2 linked regions of the Ovis aries genome follow. The protein of the gene in region 1 interacts with the protein of each later gene in a pairwise test. Links are inferred from orthologs where the notes say so. Each region holds a gene or a part of one and is shown in the gene's direction. Other genes may lie near its edges. The genes, in order: DAB1 and MBNL1.

Evidence for each region.
Region 2: the proteins of DAB1 (region 1) and MBNL1 interact in binary tests that used the Homo sapiens proteins (3 or more experiments, as listed by UniProt). The link is inferred for Ovis aries from reciprocal best matches to the Homo sapiens genes DAB1 and MBNL1.

Annotation. Positions count from the first base shown.
Region 1 is NC_056054.1:31,626,308-31,630,134, reverse strand, and holds part of DAB1 (disabled homolog 1), read left to right. Parts: intron 1-2,714; coding exon 2,715-3,263; intron 3,264-3,827. UniProt on the Homo sapiens protein: Signaling adapter of the reelin-mediated signaling pathway, which regulates the migration and differentiation of postmitotic neurons during brain development.
Region 2 is NC_056054.1:236,120,008-236,123,834, reverse strand, and holds part of MBNL1 (muscleblind-like protein 1), read left to right. Parts: intron 1-2,381; coding exon 2,382-2,552; intron 2,553-3,611; coding exon 3,612-3,722; intron 3,723-3,827. UniProt on the Homo sapiens protein: Mediates pre-mRNA alternative splicing regulation. Acts either as activator or repressor of splicing on specific pre-mRNA targets. Inhibits cardiac troponin-T (TNNT2) pre-mRNA exon inclusion but induces insulin receptor (IR) pre-mRNA exon inclusion in muscle.

The DNA of each region.
Region 1 (3,827 bases):
AGGATGCTGGCAGGCTACAGTCCATGGGGTCTCAAGAGTCGGACATGACTTAGCAACTAAACCACCACCACGCTAGAACACATACTAAGTCGTCAGATGTGTGCACCTAAAGCCAACAATAGAACAGACCAACCAGAATAGGAGTGTTAACGCTGTCTTCAGTGCCGTGAACAGGGACCACAATTTTCCAAGTTGTTGATCAACTCTTGACTATGTTCCAAAGAAACAAAAGTATAATCTTCCCCAGTGTATGCATTTCTGAAAAATTAAGTGAATTAAAACTGTGCAAAGAAACTTTAAATTTCCACATGACTCAAACTACACTCAAATAATCACAAATTCTTTGTCATGCACGTTATCTCCCATATTATAGGAGGTCTAGTTCAATGCTCTTGGCCCTTAAATGTCAGTACTGCCCCCAACCCCACCAAGTTTTCCTGACAATCAAAACACACCCCAGGAATTTTCTAATCATCCCCTAGGAGGCAGTAGAGCTCCCACCAAGACCCATTGAACCCGGTCAAAGTCAATGGGAAAATAAGAAAAGCGAAGTTGCAGAATTCTTTGTTGTTACATTCAAGTCATTGTATTATTCTATGGCAGGCAACCTAAGCAAGCTGTCAGCACCAAGCCTCTTCACTTTTTGCTACAGAAAGATACAATGATTTTAAAAGGAGCACAAGTGATACTTTATACCATAATAACGGAAGCAATATAATTTCCACTTATTAAGTGCTTACAACATGTTAGGTATAGTATTAGGTGCTTGGCAAAATCCCTGCAGGGCCGATATCATTATCTCCTTTTAGGGATAAGGTGATAGGTGCTCAGAGAAGAAAAGTAGAGTGTTAGTATGTGTTCTCATTTCCTTGCACTAGGACCAAGGTGATCTGATAAGGATATTGTCTGTTTTGTTTGTTGCCACTCCTGCCTCATTCCATAAAAGTACTGAACACAATTAATTAGCAGGAAGCCTGTGTTTCTGTGTCCACCCCTTCTGGAGCCTCCTCTCACCTTGTAAGGAAATGGACTGGCTTTGAAAGTTGGCTCCCTCTCTTATGAATCAGTTGAAGGGCAGGTGGATCAGAGGCTAGCGCATGGGTGAGGCAGCCCATGTGTCATTTCTCTGGGTTCACCAGTCATCAACACAACCCAGGTCATTTTGGAAGCTGCTAGGATACCATACATCCACCCTCTTTTTTTTCCTGTTCTCACCGTTCTCTGCCTGCAAATTCCTTCTGACAGCCATAAAAATGCTTATTTTGAGAGATCAGTCTTCATCTTCTACTCTGCCTGGACTGGTCGTCTGTCTCCTGGGCTTGATTGCACCCTGAGAAGGGTGGGAACCCCTGGAAGGACATGGGAGTCTCCTCCAGGCCCACAGTAAGCTAAAACATCTGATGGTTGGACCAACTTTATGGACTGTGTTAAGATCAGAAGTCAGCCTTGGCCATTTGGCTGAGGTAGTAGGGGGCAGTGAAGAGAATGCTGGCTTTGGAGACAGATAACCTCAGTTCAGACCCTGATTTCAGCTTAATGTCCACTGTGTGACCCTGTGCAAGTTACTTTTCCTCTCTGAGCACCAATCACCTTATCCCTAAAATGGAGATAATGATACCGACCCTGCAAGGATTTTGTGAAGACGCGTAGCACCTAATACTAACCTAACATGTTGTAAGCACTTAATAAGTGGAATTTATGTTGATTCTGTTATTATGGTATAGAGTATCACTTGTACTCCTTTTAAAATGATTATATCTCACTGTAGCAAAATATTATGGTAATGTAAGTGAGCACACCCCCTGGAGTTTTGCAGTGACCCATCTGTGCCCCTATATGTGGTATTCCTAAATAGATTACTAAGCTACATTTTTTAATCTCTAAGATTGGCATAACAATAATATATAATAATACCCTAGAGCTACCTTTTATTGCATGTTTTTTACATATCAAGGAAGGTATTAAGTAATTTTATAGGCTGTGATTCAAATCATACTAATGGTTAACATTTACTCAATATTCATTCTATGTCAGCCACAGTTCTCTATATCTTAAATGTATAATCTCAGTCTTTAACCCAACGAGGCAGAAGGTATTTTCTGCCCATTTTACAGATAAGGAGAGGCTTAGAGACCTTCTTAAGCTCTCCCCAGATTCCACAGATAAGAAGTGGCAGTCTGAATTTTAACCTTGGTCTCAATCATCTTGCACATGGTTTTGATGTGGAGAAGGAAGATGTTGTAGCCCAATTTTGCAACAAAGAGCTTGACTCTTAGCAGAAGCAATGGGGATGCCCTCAGTCTAGCAGGAAGGGGAAGCAAAATTCAAGCCCAGATGTGCCTGTTTCCAGCACTCTGCCCTTCCCACTGAGCACACTGGTTCCTGAGCTGTATGATGTCAGAAACCTTTAAGAATGGAAAGACTATAACTACTCTGAGAACTATACGATTATTTTTATTACCCTCAAATGCCTGCCTGGCTTGCTCCCTCACTGAATTCTAGTTTCTACCTACAAGTCATCTCCTTAGAGCAGTTTTTCCTGACCACAGCTGTAGAAGGCAGACCCCGGGAGAGCAGGGACTTCCTCATACTCACCTTTGCATCCTAGCACACAGCCTGACTCTGAGTAGTCACCTGATACCTTCCTGCCAATCACTTGACTCCCTGAATGCTTCTTGCCCAGGGCTCCTGACTCTTCTTTTTCACACCTGCAGGTTATGTTGCTATGGGCGCCGTCCTCCCATCCTTCTGGGGCCAGCAGCCCCTTGTCCAACAGCAGATCGCCATGGGTGCTCAGCCGCCAGTCGCTCAGGTGATGCCGGGGGCTCAGCCCATCGCATGGGGCCAGCCGGGTCTCTTCCCTGCCACTCAGCAGCCCTGGCCCGCCGTGGCCGGGCAGTTTCCGCCAGCCGCCTTCATGCCCACACAAACTGTTATGCCTTTGCCAGCTGCCATGTTCCAAGGTCCCCTCACCCCCCTTGCAACCGTCCCAGCCACGGGTGACTCCGCCAGGTCAAGTCCACAGACCGACAAGCCCAGGCAGAAAATGGGAAAAGAAATGTTTAAGGATTTCCAGATGGCCCAGCCTCCGCCTGTACCCTCCCGCAAACCCGACCAGCCCTCCCTCACCTGCACCTCAGAGGCCTTCTCCAGTTACTTCAACAAAGTCGGGGTGGCACAGGATACGGATGACTGTGATGACTTTGACATCTCCCAGTTGAACTTGACGCCTGTGACTTCTACCACGCCATCGACCAACTCACGTGAGTGTCCTTCTCTGGAGACATAAACCCCTGAGAACAACTGATGCCTTGTTTCTGGTGTCAGAGAAACCAGCTCAGTTGCATTCAACAGGCCTCTTTGTTTATATCACTACTACTGCTGCTAACAATAGCCTCCCATTATTAGATGCCAGTTATATGTACCTTCTCCATGCTTTACATGTGTTATTTCTATACTCCTAACAATGCTTATGGAAAGTTTCATTAGACCTGTTTGAAGATAATGAAAGTGAGATTCAAAGACAAAGAAAATAGACAAAAGGGTCGAATTGAATACAAGCCTGTTGTTTGTCTAGCATGTCACCCTGCTTCTTCCGTTTTTGTTCATTTGCTCCTTCATGTGTTCATGTATGTATATCCCAGCTCTGATACATAGTTTTGGGTATGGCTTATTGAACTAAAACTGAATGGAGTATGTGCATTTAAAAATTTTTAGGAACAAGGATAAAAAAATTAGAAAATTAAGATCAGGAGAAAATGCAGGCCAGAGATAGAGCAGTCGTAAAGCCTCCCACAACAGGTAGAGCAGCAGCCAGAATTTGGCTC
Region 2 (3,827 bases), about 200 Mb from region 1:
CCCAATCTTAGTAAGAAATATGATGTGGAGATATTGATAACCATAATTTTTCTTAGAACCAAGTTATTCTTTGTACTGAAAAAGTAGATTTTCTCTAAAATACCCAAACTCAGATATTTCTGATATTAGACCATGTGTCATCCGTGGTTAGCCAGTCATTCACCATGGTTTGTCTTGTGACTTGAAGTGTTGTTTTTGTGAAGGTTGTTTTGCATCCAGATGCTTTTAAGCTAATAACGTGCTCATGATCTCAACAGGTATCAGGCATGGTGATTTTCTATGGAATAAATCAGAGATATGTACATGTTACTTTACTTGTGAATGTATCGATAACTGTGATAAATGGTATAAAAGTTACTTTCATGCCAATATTTTGTTTTTCTGCTAATGTGTATACAATTTAAAATGTGCTGGGGGTGGTGGTAACAGCAGTTTTTGACTTTCCCCTTGTTCCTCTGAGAGTGCTGGACAGCGCCGAGGATGTAACATATACATTATCTTTTTTAATCTTCAAAATAAACTTACAGTGTAGGTTATATAGGGTTTCCCTATATAGCATAGGTTATATAGAGTTTCCCTATATAGCATAGATTATATAGGGTTTCCCTGTATAGCATAGGTTATATAGGGTTTCCCTGTAGAGCGTAGGTTATATAGGGTTTCCCTGTATAGCGTAGGTGATATAGGGTTTCCCTGTATAGCGTAGGTGATATAGGGTTTCCCTCTGTAGCGTAGGTGATATAGGGTTTCCCTGTATAGCATAGGTTATATAGAGTTTCCCTATATAGCATAGATTATATAAGGTTTCCCTGTGTAGCGTAGGTGATATAGGGTTTCCCTCTATAGCGTAGGTTATATAGGGCCAATGCAGAAGACATGAGGGACTGGGGTTCTATCCCTGGGTAGGGAAGATCGCCTGGAACCAGTGTTCTTGCCTGGTGGGCCACAGTCCACAGCGTCGCAGAAGTTGGACACTACTGAAGCGACTTAGCACACATGCACGTAGGTTATATAGCAGTTTTGAAGTGGATGAAAAGCCTGAGGCTTACAGAAGTTAGTTTTTTATGCAGCTCATGTAGCTGATGAGTGATCGAGCTCAACCTCTGCCCCACGTGCTGACACCTGTAATGTCCTTGCTCTTGTCCACGGTTCTCCACTGCCTCCTAACTTGAAATATTATTAGTAATGCTTTATTACATAAAGCTTGTTAACAGAGCAGGTAGTATCCTCTGATATTAGCCTGTGGATAAACTTATTCCAAAAAACTTAATCAACATAAGCCAGAAATAGGTCATTAAAATTAGAATTCTGACAGATTTTCTCACAAACATCAGTTTTCTGAGTCAGTTTACAGTACAAGGTCAAATTATGGTAAACAGGTAGATTTTTCTTAGAAAAATCAAAGAAAGTTCAAGAAAGTGGTTGATCGCTTCAATTAAGTCCTTTTTTACCCTCACAAACAGTTCTAACTAAATTTATTGGTGAAAGAGATTATGAGGTAATAATTAATGAGATAAGTTGCTATCGATATGACTTGACAATACTGTATTGAAATAAATGGGTCTGTCCCTGACAATATTTCATAATACAGCCTTTTATATATATTTTGATGAGAAGAATCATCCCAAAACAAACATATTCATATTTATTAGTTTATAGTAACTTATTTTGTTTCTCTATTTTATGCCATAAGTTTTTGAAGGGTAAACATATCTGTTCCTGTTGTTTTATAATTCTTAGGTAATGGAGACTAGATTTATTGCTGAAAGGTTAAAGGCTGCATTTTTTCACCAATATTTCATTGTGCTTGCTGATCTCTGTATTCAGCAGGAAATATGTAGGAATTTCCTCCCTTTCATCTATACATTTCTTAATATTTAGACTCATAAAGCTTAGTAGTAATTTTAACTTATGAGATATGTGTAAAGGTGTTTTACTGAAGATACAGTGTGCCTTGAGTCCTGTAAGTTTGTTTCCTTACAACTCAGTACAAGTAAAAATAGATGGTAAAACTTCATGATTCTTTTGGGTTCGTTAAAGTTGGCCAGGAGACATTAAGGAAGGAGCCTAAGATTTTTATTTGATATTCTGTGTTAATATTACCCTAGCAGTTTGTAGATTTTTAAACTTGGATCTAGAAATATTAAAGCTAATATTTTAATACAGGAACTTCTCTAAGCTTGAAACTTTTTTGAAATGTCTTAATACTTCATTTTGATAGAATTGATTACTTATTCAAATCTGTTATAAAGTCATTGGATAATACACTGTGTGAAAGACTCATGGTAGATTCAAGATAGGTTTATATTATTATGATTTTTTTTTTTAAGATTTGTAGATTTTATTTTTTTAAGATGATGTTTTCTGCTTTCATTACTTAGGGTCGTTGCTCCAGGGAGAACTGCAAATATCTTCATCCACCCCCACACTTAAAAACACAATTGGAGATAAATGGGCGCAATAACTTGATTCAGCAGAAGAACATGGCCATGTTGGCCCAGCAAATGCAACTAGCCAATGCCATGATGCCTGGTGCCCCATTACAACCCGTGGTAAGTATGTTCTTAGTTCTCATTCCTCAAGTTTGTCTTGCTTAGTGCTCAGTTTCAGTGTTAAATTGGTGATTACACTAGATCAAGTGAGCACAGGTAACAATATCAGTTGCCTAGCATTTTCCAGCAAAAATATCAGTCAAACCTTGGAAACAATTTCCCTAGGAACAATTTTTACATGATAAAGTTACTCATCTTCTGGCTAAATCATGTGAAAATTGACATGACAGAATGTTTAACCCCTCAAATTCTCTTCAAATTAAATCCTGTGACTTGCAGATGTGTAATGGTCTTTTTAAAAATGACCATTAAACTCATCAGTATAGTCTAGGTGCATTTTCAGGCTACCTTTTTAACACTAATAGTCATTTTGAAAATCGGTGTAAATCATCTTTAATTTTGAGTAAGTGTTTCCCTTCCCTCTCTCATTAAAGAGAATCTATATAGTTCTTTCTTGAAAAGGAGCCTTCGTTATTCTTTTAAACTTACTATGAATTGAAACTATTTGGTAGTTACAGATGCTAGGAAAATTCTGACAGTGGTGAATCCATATCATAGATCTGGAAGTCTCATCAGAGAACTAATCAGGAGAGGCAGAAACTCCATGGACTTTTTAGGGAAAAAAGCTAAATTTTATAAACTCTAGGTGGTCACACAGATTTAATGTTTACTGAACAGTGTAGGTAGATAACCTATGATTCTAGGCATATTTATTTATTTTTTTGTTTGAATTTGGGGGGGAGGGTATACGTGACATATGACTTTTATAACCTTTACTCACACTTATCCACAAAAATGTTAAGAGATTAATATCATAACTAAGTTTCAAAAGATGTTTTGGTATTAATTTTGATATAGTAATTTTGTATTTAAATGCATGTTGAAATTTGCAATAATTGGAATATTGCTGTCACTGACTTAATATGCAATATTATGTGGTCCTAGAAACGTGAAGACCCACGTTTTTCTGATATGGCAACTGTAGCATGTGTGCTAACTAATTTTTTTTCCTAATAAATTTTAACACCTGAACTCAATGTAATTATTATTCTCTCTTAGAACTTAATGAACCAATCATTCCAAAAAAGAGGGGGGGATTGCATTTCGAGGTGGGAGGGATCTCCAAATCCAATCGGCAGTGATACCAATTATCAATACTATACAGTTGAGGTGAGAGAATGTTATAATTCTGTTTTCACTTGATATATTTTTTTTTCCATTATTGGGAACTCAGTTAACAATATGATATCTTAAATTTGTTTTTGTGACATCTGT